Schizosaccharomyces pombe: one gene and its partners. The protein of the gene in region 1 interacts with the protein of each later gene in a pairwise test. Each region holds a gene or a part of one and is shown in the gene's direction. Other genes may lie near its edges.

The links. Proteins that work in one complex are often made in the same cells at the same time.
Region 2: the proteins of wos2 (region 1) and SPOM_SPBC3F6.01C interact in a two-hybrid assay, tested with the Schizosaccharomyces pombe proteins (one large-scale study listed by BioGRID).
Region 3: the proteins of wos2 (region 1) and cns1 interact in a two-hybrid assay, tested with the Schizosaccharomyces pombe proteins (one large-scale study listed by BioGRID).

Annotation. Positions count from the first base shown.
Region 1 is NC_003424.3:4,465,096-4,472,494, reverse strand, and holds wos2 (p23 chaperone protein wos2), read left to right. Parts: upstream 1-3,405; 5' UTR 3,406-3,499; coding exon 3,500-3,527; intron 3,528-3,726; coding exon 3,727-4,259; 3' UTR 4,260-4,608; downstream 4,609-7,399. Other genes in the region: SPOM_SPAC9E9.15 (protein CIA30), read right to left, coding at 1,155-1,814; ESCRT III complex subunit Vps24, read right to left, coding at 2,139-2,834; abc1 (ABC transmembrane transporter Abc1/Ybt1), read left to right, coding at 5,133-7,399. UniProt on the Schizosaccharomyces pombe protein: Cell cycle regulatory protein that interacts with cdc2 in the control of the M-G1 transition.
Region 2 is NC_003423.3:4,184,089-4,190,835, reverse strand, and holds SPOM_SPBC3F6.01C (serine/threonine protein phosphatase), read left to right. Parts: upstream 1-3,877; 5' UTR 3,878-3,941; coding exon 3,942-5,363; 3' UTR 5,364-6,237; downstream 6,238-6,747. Other genes in the region: thioredoxin reductase Trr1, read right to left, coding at 1-569, 869-869; erg26 (3 beta-hydroxysteroid dehydrogenase/delta 5-to-4-isomerase), read left to right, coding at 2,107-3,129; pho8 (alkaline phosphatase), read left to right, coding at 6,312-6,516, 6,651-6,747. UniProt on the Schizosaccharomyces pombe protein: Protein phosphatase that specifically binds to and dephosphorylates the molecular chaperone Hsp90. Dephosphorylation positively regulates the Hsp90 chaperone machinery.
Region 3 is NC_003424.3:3,556,398-3,561,770, reverse strand, and holds cns1 (HSP chaperone complex subunit Cns1), read left to right. Parts: upstream 1-3,546; 5' UTR 3,547-3,647; coding exon 3,648-4,724; 3' UTR 4,725-4,863; downstream 4,864-5,373. Other genes in the region: osm1 (fumerate reductase), read right to left, coding at 1-514, 830-1,040. UniProt on the Schizosaccharomyces pombe protein: Co-chaperone that binds to the molecular chaperones Hsp90 and Hsp70. Stimulates Hsp70 ATPase activity, but not Hsp90 ATPase activity. Involved in only a subset of Hsp90 functions.

The DNA of each region.
Region 1 (7,399 bases):
ATAGACCAGTTCTTACTTCATGTCATGAAAATTTCCTTGTTGGACATTGGCCTAAATAGCATGTTTAGCCACTTCTAAGAATTTCCACTTGCGCTGATCTATACACTCGGAAGCAAAATTCGTTGAAACCGAGGATAGGTTTATTCAGTATTAGTCGATAAACATAGAAGCGCTTTGTCGGGAAAAATGTTATCTTTGTCCGTCGCATCGTTTAACCGTAATTCGCTTAAAATATTTACACTATTCTAGCAGTGGCTTAACTTTTGTCAACACAATAAAATTACTTTTAAGTTAGTGGTTTAAGCCTATGAATACATTTAGAAAAGGATAAAGGTACTCTTAACGACTCCATTAGATTGATCTGTTTGTAAGTAGATAAATAGATAGAATACTCTCGCTTGTTAATTACTTTTATGTACAATAAGCTTTCAACAGCTCCATTCATTGATGAATGTAATTTGTACTTTAAATAATAAAAATAAAGTTAAATATTGAAGATTTTTTATTTCATTGGGGAATGCAAACACCCAACTAATTATTTCAAGACATACGGTGATGACAATCTGTCGATACTACTATCATCAAGAAGTTTAGCGAACCTCACTAGTCAAATTTGTACAAATTCCGCGGCAATGGGAAAGAATGCGTTGAGTATATATGGTAAGTTACTGACAATCAGAAGTTAAAATAAGCAAACTAAATTGAATTTACTTTGGTTGTAGTTTTGCAGAGATGTGACAACTCCATAGTTGTACGTATATCAATTCATAGTGTTGTTGTTTGTCAATTACTTTGATTGATTATGATCGTCTAGTTTATGATTGCAAATGCTAATTGCTCTAATGACATTAGTCGGACATCACCATTAATGGATAGAAGTAACGGCTAAGCTAAAAACTCAGATTTTTGTAAATGTCAATGTACTAAATTGATGTCAATTAAACTATTGCTAACCTTATTCATCTCTTTAAAATTACTTCAAAATAAAAAAAGAGTAGCAGGAGACTTTAATATCCCCAACACTAAAGTAATACAAAGTCGCCTTTACTATAATTTCATGTCTTTACTATACAAATGAATACCGCACAAAACGCAAGTTAAATTCATCAAATGTCATGAAAATAAATTAAGTAAGTATTGCTAAAACTTTGGAATTATTGGCAAATGCACCAAGAACCTCCAGCAATTTCTTTTTCATAATCGTCAAAAAGTCTTTGCTTCTCGTTACTCATCTTATGGGTAGTAAAAGGAACATTCTTTGGAATAGCACGAATACTGTTTAAAACTAGTTCATAGTCGCCACTTTGGGAATTAAAAAAGCTTCGAATCATAATTGAAAACTGAGTGATCTTGCTAACGTCAAGCTCCGGGGCTCCTTCTACAGGTCGACCACGATAAGTCGGTTTAAATTCGGAAAACGGAATTGAAACAACTTGGTCTTCCTTAGAATATATAGGTGTAAAGTCGTATTCATATGATAAACTTGACTTCTCATCAGAAGTTTCCCAATCTTGATGACAATCCTTAATGATAAAAGTATATTTATAAGAATCGCTCTTAGCAATATCGAGCTCAATTCCTTTAAACTCTTTCAGGTTCCACGTCCTATCCTTGATATTAGTAGCCTGACTACAGAATCCAGCGCCTCCCAAGGTCTTAGTATCAAGAGTGCCCCAAAACTTGGCGCGAGATTTCCCATCACTATCCTTCTCCTCAGTGAGATGACTTATCGAAGAGCCTCCACGAACCCTATCATCTACAGCACGAAAATCCTGCTCATGCCAATTTTCTGGCTGACCAAAAAGAACAAGCATTTCTTTTTAATGGAGTAATGTTCAACAGCGGTGGATATATGAGTATTTTGTATTCAATAACAAAGGCAAAGGAAAGATATGAAGCCTACTTATTGAATATATCTGCCAAAAATTGAATGATATAGGAAGGCGGTCCATGATGCATAATTACTTCATATGCTACTGATGAAAATTTAACGAGAAAAAGAATTTTGTGCCATAAAATTACTACAACCGTAATGCAGGGAGTTTTGTTAAATATGCAAGGAAATCAGTTTAAATGATATAATACAAAGAATAAACATGTAAAATTAGAAGCAGAGAAAGAAAAAATATTTAAACCGTTTAGGATTTCAAAGCATCTAGCTTATCACGAATGTCCAACAATTGTTCTTCATCAATTTCAGTAGAGTCTTTAGCAATCCCATTGGATAAAGATGGAAGTGCTTGTTTGAGTGATTGTTCACGATGTGTAGCAGCATCCGCTGCTTTTTCTGAAGGTGCAGGAATGACATTATATTTTGTAAGAATTTCTTGGACTTCCTCATCCTCATCAGCCAAATCCATCAATTCTTCATCGTCTTCTACTGGTAGAAACATTTCATCACGCATTTCCTCTAAGACACCTGCCTTTGTAAGTTCCATAGACAGATTTCTCATAGTTTCCGAGAGTTGGGGAAGACGAATTAAAGATGATACATCTTGCATTATCTTTGTGCTGGATTGCATAGTACCTTGTATCTTTAACATAGCCATCTGGTCATTCAGTTGTAGACTTAGGCTTCCTAATAAAGCTTTTGATTCGGCGAGTCTTTTACCATGTCGGTTTGCACGGGCAATTTCTTTAGCCAATATACGCATATTTGTAATATCAGATTGCTTTGCCAATTGTTTCAGCTGAACCTCTGCCTTTTTCCTGCCTGCTTTAAGATGGTATACCTGCCGATCTAGTTGTCGTTGTTCTTTTCGAATGATGGATTGCCATTTTCTGTTTTGTTCTTGAGGCGTCGGACCAAAGAAATAAGATCTTACAGTTTGCATTTTGATAATAAAATATGAGAAATGCTGGGTGATAGGAAAAAATGGATAAACACGTAAATTCCCCGTTTACCAATTAAAAAAAAAACAAAAACGATGGATGATTATGCAATAATACAAGGAAAGAAAGTTATGAAAAACAAAACTGACACAAATCTCTCTAAAAAAATGATACTGAAACCGAAATGATATGAAACCTTTAAAAAAAGTCTTACTTCTTCAATTGTTCAAACGAAGAATCCTCAAATCAGCGTAAACCGAATAGTCCTCAAATAGAGTACATCAAGTTGGTCTTTTCAATTTATGAATTGATTAAAAAAGCGGCTTCTAGGATTTTAAAATCCCGTTTTACAAGAAATCAATTAATTGATCAGCTTCTTGACAATTGACGTTAAACAGACTCAATTTTCTAAAATCGATCAACAAGGATAACTATTAAAACTGCAATTTAACAATTTTATTCCCTAGACGCTTCTGGCACAGTCTTGAATACTTGAGCGTATGTTCTAGAAAATACCGTACCCAGTGACTTATAGTTCACTATATAATGTAGGTGACTTCAAGAACCTGCACTAGACAAACCACTTTAGCAGTTCACAGTTGAAAAGTTTCAACATAAAATTACCATATTGAACCTATTATTTACCTATACTTTTTATCATTAAAGAATGAGTTTAAATACACAAATTCCTGAAGGTATGTTACAACAAAAATCCGTAACACCTTATACTGCGAAGAATCTGAGACGAGAATAAGCCGAATAATTCTCGTTTGAAGATAGTATTTTCTTCGGTTTCTTCACATAAAATATTTGATTAGCGGTTTTGTATATTCTGTTTTCCAATGTACATTTATTTGCGTGTTTTATTAGTGCTTGTTACTAACATTCGTTTAGTTTTATGGGCACAAAGATCCAATAAGGATGATGCTGAAAAGAACGTAATTTACCTCACCGTTTTAATTCCGGATGCTGTTGACCCAAAAATTAATTTGACACCTGAAAAACTAGTTATCGATAGCAAATCTGGAGCCAACGCTCATTACGCAGTTCAAATTGACTTTTTTAAGGACATTGATGTCGAGAAAAGCAAGTACTCTGTTACCGGCCGCTACATCTTTTTCGTCTTATACAAGAAGGAATTACAAGAAGAGTTTTGGCCTCGTCTTACTAAAGAGAAACTTCGATTACACTGGCTCAGAACGGATTTTGATCGTTGGGTTGACGAGGATGAGCAAGAAGCACAACCTGAAGTTAGTCCATTTGGCGCAGGTGGCATGCCAGATTTGAGCGCACTTGGAGGTATGGGCGGTATGGACTTCAGTCAATTTGGTAACCTTGGAGGAGCTGGAGCTGGTGAAGATGCTAGTGACAGCGAACCTGAACTCGAAGAGGAAGAGGAAGTTGGCAGTAACGAAAAGAAAGAGTAATAATGTTATCATGTAATCAGTCTTAAAATGCATCCATTTTATCTTTTACGTTTCATACAAAATTGCAATCAACCTTTTTGTGAGGTGGAGCGGAGCAAATTTGAGCTGCGTTGACAGTTTTTTATTAAAAACAGTAAACTAAAGTACCATCTTCTACCTATATGGCTGAATATATTGATTAGGAAATGTTTGTTCCCAATACAGATATGTTGCTCATGTATTAAGACCCGTACGAATTGCATACTTTAATGATTATATGTCAAATTCTATTCCTGAATGGTTTCATATTATGATTTTATATAGAATGTTTAGTTAGTCATATGAAATTTACTAGCTCACATCTGCATATAAAAAACTTTATTTTCGTAGTCATGTACTTCAGAACCGTCGAACATCATTTTAAGTTACTCAGATAGATATTAATTTAATATCAATATAAATTTTAAACAGAGTCATTTAATTGAGGTAATTTACCAAATGTAAAATAAACAAAAAAATAATTACGCCGGGGTGTGTTTTTTTTCGGCAACATATGCTTTTCTGTTTACCATCACCACAGCATAATATCTCTCATTAACTCCTTCAATTACCCGAGGCAATTAGACATTTATTTTTTAACTCTTGACCACAAAGTAATTAAATACTGAATTTGATGAATAATTCCTAAACGATTGATTGTTAGTTGTTTGCATTGTTAATTTTATTAATTACGATTGCCCTAATCGTTGCAAAATCCTCTATTTATTTTTCCCTCCCATTGGACATTTTTGGACTTATGTTTATTGACCTTGGACTTTTTATTGCTTAACATTTTAGGTCGTTTGAGGTTTTTATCCCATTAGAATTTTTTTTTTGTAGACTTTGCGACTTGTGATGAAAATGTTTCAGTCTTTTTTTTCAAATTACATAGATATAAATTTTTTTAGAAATGCAACGTTAGACCAATGTCTACTGCTTTTTTACCTTTCTTTGTTTTCCCTTACAAATTTGTTCCTTATTCAAAAACTATTTCATGCCAATCACACCCAACACCCCTTAAAAAAATACTTTGGAGAAACATGTTTGTTAGAATACATTCAAATTATCCTATCTATTGTCTCTGCCGCACTTTCATTTTACTTGGACACTAATGCTGTTTGGTGGGCAATACGAACTATTACCCATTTGGAGATCGTTGGTTTAAACATTTTGTCATCTTTAAAATATGGATCAACCCTGTTTTCCTGGATTTCGGTAGCAAATGCTTTTGGGCTTCTTTTACTAAGACTGATAAGCATCTATGATTTTCTAACCTATTCATCCTGGAGCTTTTCAGTTAAAGGCGGATCCTTTCTTCTCCTGCTTCCTTTAGCTTATAACATTACTTTATTTTTGCTTGTCATAATTCCTCTCTTTTTTCCAAGAGCGTGGAGCCCGACCGTTAAGTTTTCCAAGGTTGCTCGCCCGTCTCCTGAACAAACATGTAGTATATTTTCTTTGATTTTTACTTACGGATGGTTAAACGGTATTATATGGAAATCGTGGAAAAAACCTATTACCCTCACTGATGTTCCTGCTCTTCCTGACACCGAGTGTACCCAGATTTGGTACAGCCGGTTCGCCAAGAATGATAGAAAATCACTTATGCATACAATCCTTTTATCCCTTAAATCAACAATTCTATTGATGGTTTTTTTGTCCGTTCTCGTCAGTTCAACATTATTTGTCACTCCTCTTGCTATTAAAAAACTTTTGCAATATTTACAAAACCCGAAGAGTGATGAAGGAAACAGCCCTTTTTTATGGGTTTTTGTACTCCTGATCGGTCCTTATTTGGCATCTGTTGTAAAGGAACTTTACGTTCATGTTTCCAGAAGGTTTATGTTGAGAATTAAGGCTGCCATTACTCAAATGATCTACAAAAAAGTGCTTACCTCGAAAACGCTTTTTGTTGCAGTAGATGGATCAAAAATCAATTTGGATTACGTTTACAATCTTCTTGCCAAAGACGTTGATAATATTGGAGAGATGAGGGAATTTATTGGAATAATCGCTCGAGCTCCTTTGGAGATGGGCGTTTCGATGTACTTTTTGTATCAGCTTCTTGGCTGGAGTGCTTATGTTGGCCTTCTACTTGCCATTCTCAGTTCAAGTTTTCCGTTATTAGTTGCATCAAAAATATCTCGCTTAACTTCGATTGCAAATACATCCAGCGATGAAAGAATTCGTTTGACCACAGAGCTCCTTAAAAGCATTAAGATCACAAAACTTTTTGGATGGGAGCGTCCAATGCTGAGCCGCATCCAGGAAAAGCGTTCTTTTGAGGTAAACAATATGTATTCCTTAACCTTGTTTGATATTATATTTAAATCAGGAATGAAAATAGCTCCTTTTATTAGTATGTTCATTACTTTTGCTATATATACTAAAATTATGGGGCATCAGCTAACTCCCGCTACTGCCTTTACTTCTATTTCTATGTTTGGACTTTTGAGGTATCAATTCATTTGGCTAGCTAGTGTTTCACGGCAGTTTATTCAGTTCAAGGTATCTTTGAAGCGCGTTGATAACTTCGTGTACGGCAATATGGTAAATGATAGTTCAATCGAAAGTTCTGATAGTTTTGTTTTTGAAAACACTTCGCTATCTTGGTCACCTACCCCTTCTACTGCTCTGTTTCAGCTGAAAAATTTAAACTTTACCATTCCAAGAAACCAATTTACTCTTGTGGTCGGTTCAACAGGTTCTGGGAAGTCAACGTTAGCTATGGCATTACTTGGTGAGTTGCATGTTATATCTGGAAAAATGACAACTCCCTCGATTAGCCAGCGTATTGCGTATGTTCCACAAGCTGCGTGGTTAAGAAATGGTACAATTCGATCCAACATTTTGTTCGGTGAGCCTTACGATGAAGAAAGGTACTTTCAAATAATCAAGGCGTGCTGTTTAGACTCGGATTTAAATAGTATGAATGATGGGGATTTAACATATATTCATTCAAACGGTTCTTCGTTATCGGGAGGACAGAAGCAAAGAGTTTCACTTGCACGCGCTTTGTATTCGAATGCTGAAGTATACATTTTCGATGATATTTTCTCCGCTTTAGACGTCTCAACCTCGAGGAAAATATACGAATCTTGCTTTTTGTCTACTTTGCTTCA
Region 2 (6,747 bases), on another chromosome or scaffold:
ACGAAGCTTGTCACGGCGCACAAGGACATAAACTTTGCTACCATACTTTGTTAAAAACTGGGCCTCTTCGGCAGCAGAGTCACCACCACCAACGACAGCAAGAGGCTTGTTACGATAAATGGGAACGGCACCATCACATACAGCACAAGCAGATATACCTGCTTGCCAATAAGTATCCTCACCAGTAATGTGAAGGCGACGAGCGGAAGCACCAGTAGCCAAAATAACGCTGTCAGCGGTATGAGGCTCTTCCTCTTCAGCACCCTCCAACCAGTACTTGAAAGGGCGAGAAGAAAGATCTAATTTGGAAACAGTCTCGGTAATAATTTCAGTTCCAAAACGCAAAGATTGAGCGCGGAAGTTTTCAGTAAGGGTAGTACCATTGATACCATCGGGAAAACCAGGAAAGTTTTCGACATCGGTGGTAGTAGTAAGCTGACCACCAGCAGCAATACCGTTGGCAAGCATACCTTCGTACATTACGGGCTTAAGCTCACCACGGGCGAGATAGATGGCTGCAGTATGGCCGGCGGGACCAGACCCAATAATAACAACCTTGTTGTGAGTCACTAATGAAGTCAGTAAAATTAAAAAAACAAAACAAAAAAAGATAAACGTTAATGTTGTAAGGCGAGAAGGATAGAAAAGCTGAAAGAACACAAGATAACCATTATCGAACAATGATAAAAAAACAGATGAAACCCAATCTTACACGTGAGTTCGGAAATAAAAAAGTTTCCTACTAATCAACAAAAAAAAAGAAAAAAATTCATCACCGAATTAGTTTTATTTTTAGGTAATAATTTTTTTTTTGTTGGGTTCGACTTCATCGCCGTCACATTTCCTGCACGTTTTTCGTTTCACTTACTATTGATATGAGTATTTGTAGAGAAATATGTTTGTTTTAAAGGGGAATAAATAGATCCTAACTTCAAAGATTTCTTAAAAGAATCGGGTATGCCTTTATAGAAGCTAAATTTCTGATAAGGAAAGAATGTCCTGAAGTATCGAAGGAATGCGATATGGTGGTAGTGGGTAAATTGATTCTTATATAGAGCCCTGGGAAATGGTGTGCTTACTAGCGATGAATAATGAGACTCGTTCGAGACATTCGTAAAAGTGCGAACGCTTAGATTAACAGTGGCAGAACGAGACACCGATATCGCGTAAGCAAATTTAATGCCAACATGGTAGAAGAGGGTATAGGAATGTCGAGAATTAGTGAGGCCACGATAAATGGACGAACCACCAAAGCCATGAGTAAGCGACGCTTTGTACATGAAAGACGACTGACCTATGCTAGTACAATAGAAAGAACTCGACAAGAAAAATCCACGTTTTTGTTAGTTAAGAGTTTAAGCCTCCACAATCCAAACAAATTGTCAAAGAGACGCGCAGAAAGCAAAATTCTCAATGTAGCCGTGCTGGGCTACTTGCCTTACTAAGGTTTTAACCAAAAACAAGTATGATTCAAGTGCGATTGGTGTAGCCTAGAAAAAACAATTGCGAAAAGTAATTTCAAGGAAACAAATTTTAGTCGTTTACAACCCAAAAAAGAAAAATTTGCTGTTCCTGCGATCAACACTGCTTAATAATTTATTTATTAAGGTTACCAACGAGGAAAAATGTTTTACGCTGAATATTGTGATTTGATAAAAGGTATAACGATAGAATTTATAAATAATAAATTGGTTTAACGTTCAACGAAGAAAGTACGAAAATTGGGTTTTGGCTGCTATCAACATTATCGAGCTTTAAGGTAGCACGCAGCATTGCTTTACAATAGGCCAGTTTTAGATGTGAACGGTACGAGGTCGGGAGGTCATCGTTTTCTTGTAATGGTACTCGAGATGTTACTCACTTAATTTTTCTGTTTTCTAAGTGCGTACTACATATTGTACTAATAGAGTTTCAATCGGCTACTATCCTCTAACCCATGTTCCATATTCAACAGCTGCTCTCTTTCTCGCTAATCATGGTTAGTGTATTGCATCTAGCCTACACCCCAAAAACACAGGTAGCAAATAAGCTCACTCATTTCTCGATATGGTGTAACGTCGAATACCTGGCAAGAACCAGACAATCGTTTATTCTTGTATTTTTTTAATGCCGATGAATTCCGTGTTAGTTATTGGAAGTGGATTTTTAGGAGGTCATATCATACGGCAGCTGTGCGAACGTGAAAATCTTCGAATTGCTGCATTTGATCTCTTTGAAAATGAAAAGTTGCTACACGAGCTTCATGGTCAATTCACCATGTATACGGGTGATTTAACGAAACAAGGTGATATTGAGCGTGTTTTTGAGGAATTTCATCCACGCGTAGTTATTCACACTGCTTCACCTGTGCATAACCTTGCTCGTGATATTTACTTTGAAGTGAACGTAGATGGCACAGCGAATATCATCAAAGCATGCCAGAAATTTAATGTTGATGCCCTTGTTTATACTAGTTCCGCAGGTGTAGTTTTCAATGGTGCTGACCTTATCAATGTGGATGAGTCCCAGCCCATCCCAGAAGTTCATATGGATGCCTATAACGAGTCCAAAGCTTTGGCAGAAAAACAAGTCTTGGAGGCAAGTTCTGAATCTTTAAAAACTGCTGCCCTTAGAGTTGCTGGTTTATTTGGTCCAGGTGATCGCCAACTCGTCCCTGGTATGCTTTCTGTTTTAAAGAATGGACAAACCAAATTTCAATTGGGTGATAATTTGAATCTTTTTGATTTTACCTACATCGAAAACGCTGCCTATGCTCATCTTCTGGCTATGGACAATTTACTTTCTAGTAATCCTACTGCCAATGGCCAAGTCTTTTTCATTACCAATGGACAGGTTATTTACTTTTGGGACTTTGCACGTGCTATTTGGGCACATGCAGGACACGTTCCCCCTTATATCATCAAATTCCCTAGACCGGTGGGTATGCTCTTAGCCACTGCTGCTGAATGGGTTTGTTATTTCTTGAAAAAGGAACCTGGCTTTACACGTTTCCGTGTCCAATTTAGTTGTGCTAACCGTTACTTTAACATTCAAAAGGCAGAAGATGTTTTGAAGTACCATCCCATTGTGGATTTGGAGGAAGGAATTCGTCGTACTTTGGCTTGGATGGATACTGAGAAAAAACATTAAATTGAGCCATTGGCCTTGTTATTCTTTAAAAGAATATTTAATTTTTAAATTCTAACGCTTCGTAGTCTTTTTTCATTTCTACATAGTTCACTTTCTTCTCGATGAGTTCTACCTCTTGAGCATGTCGATACGAAACAGTTTTTTTCCGCTTTGGAAATTGTTAATGACTTATATCATCATTTCATTTGATAGATGATTGCTCAGATCTTAAAAAAGGAAAAAAAAATATTTGGGTATCTTGGAATATAGACAAGATCGAATAACATCAATATAACGTTCTCTTTGTACTTTCTACTCGTTGTGCTTGAGACGAGAAGGATACAGCTCGTTTGCTTTTGTTATCTTTCTTTGAACTATACGAAGATTGTCCGGTATCACTTGTGTTTAGAAAACAATGGTTATTTCCTTTACATAATGATTGCCTTGTAAGTTTTTCTCATCTGAGATGTATTGATGTATTATAAGTTTCGAGTCATTTTATTTCGTAGATAAATGAATAGACACACTTCATAGAAACTGCTTTTATTACGCTTGTAAGTTTTTGAGATTTCTAATGTAAAACATTGTGTAAATTCTGTATTTATTTTTTAATATGTATGCTGCGTTGCAAAGTTTGCATTTATAAAGCCATTAATTTGTTGTTCTAAAAATATCATTTTGATCTTTGAGAATCCTAAATATCTGTTTCTTTGTAGCCCAATACTACCAATTATTAAGCTGCATTGTTCGGACAGATAAAAACTTTTTTAGCTACTATCAACCACCAAACAAAAACTCACAAGGGCTTGAATTTGTACTTTTTGCTCAATAAAATGGCTAAAGAAGCATTGGAATTAAAAAATGAAGCCAACAAGTTTCTAAAAGAGGGACATATCGTTCAAGCTATAGATTTGTATACAAAAGCCATTGAGCTTGATTCTACAAACGCAATTCTTTACTCCAATAGATCTCTTGCACATTTAAAGTCAGAGGATTATGGTCTGGCAATCAATGATGCTTCCAAAGCTATTGAATGCGACCCCGAATATGCAAAGGCATATTTTCGTCGAGCTACTGCTCATATTGCTATTTTTCAACCCAAAGAGGCTGTCGGTGACTTCCGAAAGGCATTGGCACTAGCACCCAGTGATCCAGCTGCTCGTAAAAAGCTTCGTGAATGTGAGCAATTGGTCAAAAGGATTCGTTTTCAGGAGGCTATTCATAATACTGAACCTCCTTCACCACTTGCGAATATCAACATTGAAGACATGGACATTCCTTCTGACTATGATGGTGTAATATTAGAAAAGCAAATAACGAAAGAGTTTGTTGAAGACATGAAGGAACGCTTTTGCCAAGGTAAAAAACTCCCCCTAAAATTTGCATATAGCATATTGCGAGACTTAAAAGAATTACTTGAAAAAACTCCTTCTTTAATTGACATTCCTGTTAAAGGGGATGAGACATTGGTTATCTGCGGTGACACCCATGGCCAGTATTTTGACTTGTTAAACATTTTCAAACTTCATGGTCCTCCAAGCCCTACTAACAAATATTTATTCAATGGTGACTTTGTCGATCGTGGTTCGTGGTCCACTGAAGTCGCTTTTACTCTTTATGCATATAAGTTATTATATCCGGACGCTGTTTTCATCAATCGCGGTAATCACGAAACTGACGATATGAACAAAGTCTACGGATTCGAAGGTGAATGTCGTAGTAAGTATAATGAGAGGACATTTAATATTTTCTCGGAAACTTTTTCTCTGCTACCTCTTGGTTCCCTAATTTCCGATTCTTATCTTGTTGTACATGGTGGCCTATTTTCTGATGATAACGTAACATTAGACCAACTACGAAACATTGATAGATTTAGTAAAAAGCAACCTGGACAATCTGGGTTAATGATGGAAATGCTTTGGACCGATCCACAACCTGCTCCAGGACGAGGACCATCGAAACGTGGGGTGGGTTTACAATTCGGCCCTGATGTTTCAAAACGTTTTTGCGAGGCTAATGGTCTTAAAGCAGTGATCCGTTCTCATGAAGTCAGAGATCAAGGCTACGAAGTTGAGCACGATGGTTATTGTATTACTGTGTTTAGTGCTCCTAATTATTGTGATAGTACCGGAAATCTTGGTGCCGTAATTAAAGTTAAGGAAGACATGGAGTTGGATTTCCACCAATTTGAAGCCGTTCCCCATCCTAACATTCGCCCAATGGCATATGCCAATGGACTGCTAAGTGGTATGTGATGGGAGACTGCAAGCACTGTTCTCAGTGTTTGCACCCACATTTTTTTAATTTTCTGGTTTTTGAAAAAATTTGTTCCACAGCTATATGATCCAGTTAAATTATTTTTTGAAGACTTGGTTGTTTGGGTTTTTATGAAGTTACCGTCGTTCAAAAAAATAATGCTATTTGTATGTTTAATCTTTAGCTTAAGGATTGGTTTCGATACCTGGATGGTTAGGAATTCCCAAATGTTAATTCCTGATTAGCTACTCTTTATTCCAAAAGTTCCATTTCACGTTCTTTGTACAATAAAAATATAAATAATGTTTAAGTTCATATGAACAATGAAGTAAATAAAACAATTGATCCTTTAATATCGCACTGATTTAAAATGCTGTCTTCTTATTATTATTACCCTCAAAATTCACTGCCATCATAAGTCATCAATGTGTCTTCTACTTTAAACACTGTACTTTATTTTCAAGTAACAGTTCAGTCCTTTACTTGTTTGTTTATTTTCTGTTCACAACTCATTTGCTTATATATATTTTTTTTCGTTAATGACAAGATCTCAATAATAGTCGAAAGGTAATTGCATCGAATTTTGGATATACGGGATTTTCATGTCAGCAGCTGATTCTAATATTTTCAACAGCTACTTGCATTTGACAGTAGATATTACATGTATATATAGACAGTTTTACCATCACGCTATTTCTTGTGGACTTGGTGAATTGCCATTCTCGATTAACTTGTGCATATACTATCCGATATCAGATTTAAGATAGCGAGGATCGACATGGAGAGTTAATACTTTAAACCATGACGTCATGCAATGTATGGTTGAGCTGTTTCAACACCAAAAATTTGTACTATCCATCAACAAGTCATACGCGTTGAAACGATCTTTACCCTTTGACATCCCTTCTTTTAGAGATATTCAATTTTTACCGTTTAAATAGTTTTCAATGGCATCTGAGCGCGATCCTCTTCTGCCAGTGCATGGCGAGGGTCCGGAGAGCCCTTCTCGTAGAAATTGGAAAACTTGGATAAAACATGGAATTCTGTTAATCCTTGTTTTATCAACCGTTATATTTTTTTATTTTTTCTCGTCTCATAAGTCCAAAGGGACCAATGAGAAACCAAAATTTGTTATTATGATGGTTTCTGACGGTAAGTGATTGGAGTAAGCTCTCTCATAAATCCGTTGCTCTTTTGAAGGAAAATGATTTTTTTTATATTTAGAGCACTGGGACGGAATCTTCCTTTTTTTTACAATATTTCTCGGTGACTGACTTTTTTTAAAGGAATGGGACCTGGCTCTTTGTCTATGACTAGATCGTTTGTAGAGACTCTAAACGATAAAGAGGGTTATAGGCTTCCCTTGGATGAGCATTTAATTGG
Region 3 (5,373 bases), 910 kb from region 1:
TCACTGTAATCGGCAGCATATCCACCCGTGGCGAGTACTACAGGACCATAAACAGTATGGTTACTTTTATCGCTCAAGTCCATGTATTCCACACCAAAAACCTTGTCGTGATTGGGATTTGTCAATAGACGAGTTACACGAGCATTCTTCTTAATTTGTAAACGATCGGGATGGCTAGCCGCAAACTTTTCAGTTTGATCAACCAAAACAAAAGCCAATGGCTTAAAAGGATAGTCAGGATGGGTACCACGATGGGTACGGGGCTCAGAGTGGCCGGCCAAACGAGAAAGTTGATCCATTTGTAACCCAAATCGTTCGGATAACCAATCGACAGCACTGCTTGACTTGGAAGTCAAGGTTCTCAAAAGTTCGGGTTTTGCCTTGGACTTTGCGGAGAGGATGGAATCATTATAGAAAGTATTTACACTGTCGGAAACATGCTGATCGAACTGTAATTGAGTAGGAGCAGCATTAATACCACTAGCGGCTTTGACGCTATTTCCTCCAAAAGCAGCTAAAAGATTGTTAGTTAATAAAATAACAAACAGAAGAAATTAATAGTTTAATATAGACAAATAGTAAGGAGCACAAAAGAAATGAGTCAACCAAAGAAATACACGAAGGGACATGCATGAGTACAGTGAGATTAGAATTTACCGATTAAGAACCACAATATGCCAGACGTATTGATAAAGTGACATCCTGAATATCTGAGATTTATTTCGAAACCAATTGCTTAACAAGATCCATACGTGTCGAAAGTGCTAAATTTACTCCAGGTTACGCTTCATTTCCTATTGCACAATTTTTGATAATCAATTTCACTTACTGTTTTTATCAAGCAGCAAAACATTTCCCCCAAGATCTAATATCGTATTTGTTGCGGAAAGGCCAGCAAGACCGCCACCAATGACAATTGCTTGAGTATTGTTAGCAGTGGACATGTTGAATCTCAATGTACTAAAAAAAGACGCTGAGTTTGTAGAGGGTATGAAAGGAAGACGCCTAAAAGTCCATGTATAAATCGTTAAGCATCGCATTTTTTGGAATCTTACGATAAATTCAATTTGCGAATATTAGTGATTTGAAAGGAACATTAAAGAAAATCGCTTCAACGTTTGCGTTTCCTTCCTAAGATAAAGGCATCGAAGAGAAAAGCAGCTATTTTTTAACAGAAAGCAAATAAACACGGACTTATTGAATCCGATTATTCGTGGTTAGATGCTGTCTGCATTTGGTACGATCGAGTTAGGAGTGGAAGACCTTTAATCATCGTTATAAAAGCTTACGAATAGTGGTAGTATTTAGATGAATACACCCAAAAAACGAATGCCAGAATGAAGAAACAATTAGGTATGCGGGAGTATGGAACATTAATGCCAAAAAAGAAAAAAAAATAAATACAAAATGTTTTCTTGCAAAAAATGTTCCATTCCAAAGTACCGACGCGTCGTCATAACCGCTGAGGAAAGTAAAAGTCAGTACATTGCGAAAAAGAATTGCCTGGCAATTTTCCCTAATAGTAGAAAAATTAGAAATCAAAGTGTTTAAACAATAATTTTTCTCTATAATATGATGGGTTAAAGGACCACACAGTAATTTCTAAAAAGATAAAATTTGTTTACACAAGTTGGTAAATGATTAGATTCATCTCATACTAGCTATTAGAATACTCTTTAGTAATAATATTATCTTATATAAGATTTGAACGCGAATAAAGAGAATAATATTGCCTTACACAGTACTTCTTGACCTTTTTATAAGCATGTTGACTTTCTCCTTAGCAAAAAAATTGACCGACTTGAAAACACATTAATTCACTCAAATTATCTCTATAAAGTATTTCATCTGTGGATATCAAATCATTGTAAAATCTTTTAGAGCATAATATCATTTTTCTTTTATTCATTATATATTAGTTAATTAATATGATGATGTCGATTAGGCCCCTTAACTCAGTTGGTAGAGTGTGAGATTCCAAATCTCAAAGTCAAGTGTTCAAGTCACTTAGGGGTCATATTTTTTTTAAAATGTCGATATACAAATGCTGCATAAAAACAAACATATATTGTTCTTAATTTCTATAAAAGGCATTTAATTTATGGGAGTTGTGCTTTGCTAGGCATGGAGATACTTAAAGCTTTGGTTTTTTACGACTTCCTTTTACGTTTGGTTATTATGATCTTATATTGATCGTAACTTTCAATGAAACTCACTTAACCATGTATGTTTATACAATACAGATTCTGGATTATCACAAAGACCTGCATGAATGATCATCTATTAGACAAGGCTAATTAGGTATACAGTTAGATGGAGTAAATTGCGATTTCAAGTGCTATGATAACTTGTTTAATGAATTACCCAGTTCAACTTGATTTAATCATTATAAATAATGTTCATGAATATTAGTATTTCCATGTTTATCAAATAGTGAGTCACTGCGCAACTGTTGTGTCGCTCGGTACATTCTACTACATATCACTATACATTTTCATGTTATTAACAATAAAACAGTATTCGTATAAGCATATATGCATTTCCTTTACCGGATATTTCCTTAATTATTAAATATCTCTGCCTTTGTAACACTCCCTGTTAAAGCGATATGTATCTTACTATTATAAAACCAGTTACAGCAATAGGCATCTAATTCTAACAAAAAACTGTGTAATAGTAATGCTGGAAATATCATTGTACAAATTTAATTTAGCCTCAATCCATGGCTAATACATGCTGTTTTTTTTGAAGGGATCAAGCGTTACATACCTAATTTTGCATCCTAGAAAACTATTTTCGCAGATCTTGAAAAACAAGTTATGCTCCTTCCTAGATTCCCTTCTTTTTTAATGACAAGTTCGTAGTTTAGGAAACTGTCTAAAGACTCACTGAAACGGATCGCTGATCTGAATGTAATATTTTTTCCACATCTTTCAAATGTAAACATTACTGCGCTGGATCGGCATGTGAATCTTATAAGATCCATTGAATAAGAGAAAATCCCTTTTAAATAATTAAAATTAGTCATATTAGACTTCTGTTGTAATTTACATATTGAATTTGATACATCGCATGTCAATTTTGCTTTGCTGATAAACTTATATTTGCATTATATACCCTAAACGATATTAGCGTGTACTCGACTTTAAAAAATCAAGAATTTAAATAAATATTAATATATTTAGTAATTTTCTCTCTCCAGCTAATTATATAAATGCTAATATGTAACTCACGATTTTATTTCAAAAGTAGGAATCACTTCTATTCATCAGCGAAATTCACCAAACACACTGTTGTAGTCATTGGTGTCTGAATAGTTTTTCTCTACCGAAATAAAATTGAGATGTTTTAAATATCCGTAGCTCGGAATTTTATTGTGAATTGAGATGTCCAAGCATTGGCGGAGCATAGCTAAACCTTCTTATTGCTATTAATCGTATTATAATTTATTCGCTTCCTTGGTCTTCTGTTTGCATTACTGTATTCAGCTATGGCAGTCATCCATTTCTCTGATTGTAGTTCTTTTTTCTTTCAACTACAATAATTGACCTTCCACACCTTTCGTTTAAACCTGGATACACCGCGCTGTTGCAGCAATTAAGGCATAAAAGGAGACAGGTTTTAAAAATTTTTAGAAAAATATAAATATGGCTGGGTTCCAATCATCTGAAGTTGATCCTAATACAAAGAATAAAAATGCAGAGGAGATGTTCAACGAACTCAACAAAGTCCCCTTCTTCATGCAATCTCTTGAAGATGTCGGGGATGAAAGTGAAAATAATGTTCAGTTAGATGCGCTTAAAGCGCTGGCATACGAAGGGGAGCCGCATGAAGTAGCTCAAAATTTTCGCGAACATGGAAATGAATGCTTTGCCTCAAAACGCTATAAAGATGCAGAAGAGTTTTACACAAAGGCATTAGCTCAAAAGTGCGGCGACAAAGATATTGAGATTGCTTGTTATTCCAATCGAGCTGCTTGTAATTTGTTATTTGAAAATTATCGACAAGTATTAAACGACTGTGCTCAGGTTCTTCAACGTGATTCAACCCACGCAAAAGCCTACTACCGATCTGCCAAGGCTCTTGTTGCTTTAAAACGTTATGATGAGGCAAAAGAATGTATCCGCTTGTGCTCATTAGTTCATCCTAATGATCCTGCCATTCTAGCATTGTCCAAAGAATTGCAGAAGAAGTCAGACGATTTTGAAAAGAGAGAATCTGAAAAGAAAAGGGTAGCACAAGAAAAGGTAATTGCTGCAAAGACGGTTCTATTAGCGCTACAAGAAAGGCATATAAAAACAAAAACTACTGAGCATCCTCCTGACCTAGGAGACGCCATGATTTCTCTCTCTACTTTTGATGACCCTAAAAGTGAGCTATTTTTTCCAACCATATTACTTTATCCACTTGTTTATCAATCTGATTTTGTACCATCTGTCTCGGAAAATTGTACTCCTTTAGAGTTGTTGAAAACGGTTTTCCAATCGCCTGCACCATGGGACGTCCATCAACTGTATAATCCCGATAGCCTTGATGTTTTTGCTACCACAGATACTCTCGGTTTAATCAAAGTTGGGAAGAATGTTCCTATTTTAAAGGCTCTAACTCATCCCAAAGTTACACTTATTGATGGTCTTGTACAGTTGCATGTTGTGCCTCACCATTTGGCATCTGACTGGATCTCTTCATGGAAGAAGAACAAGCAAGAGAATGCAAAGAATTGATGAATTTGTCAAACAGCTTTCTTGATCAATTCTCCTTTTATCTCGTAACGTTGTTTTTTAATAAAAATATGTATCTCGGTTTTGGTTGTTTTTCTCTATTTATTATTTACTAATATCATTTTTTCTGTAAGAATTTATCTCCTAGTAAAGTCTGTACAAAAATTGTGTAACCAGAGAAAGCATCAATTTGTAGTCATTACTTTTTTGTCCATCATGTAACAATAACAGCCTATTTTGCTTACTTGACTGTTTTGATTTCATTGACAACGATTGAAATATCAAAATTTTTGGAAATTAGAAAGTTTTACTGAAGAGATACTTGATGTTGTGTTTCAACTATGCATACTTAACTTAATTAAAGGGAATAATATCAATTTCATATTAATACCTTTGGGGAGTATGAAATTATTCGCCAAGTGGATTTATAATAACATCCATCTTATTGCCAGTATGTATCTTGATCAGTTGGCGTAGCATATCATACTCTCTAACTCAGCTTTCACCACCAAACCATCCATCCTTCCATTGTATAGAAAGTTAAGCAAATTTTTCTATTTTCCTTATTTGAATATTAAGGCTAAATACTTCAGTTCTTAACAATCTCTTGATTTTATCGTATATATCTTTTTTAACGGTTGCGTACCGATTT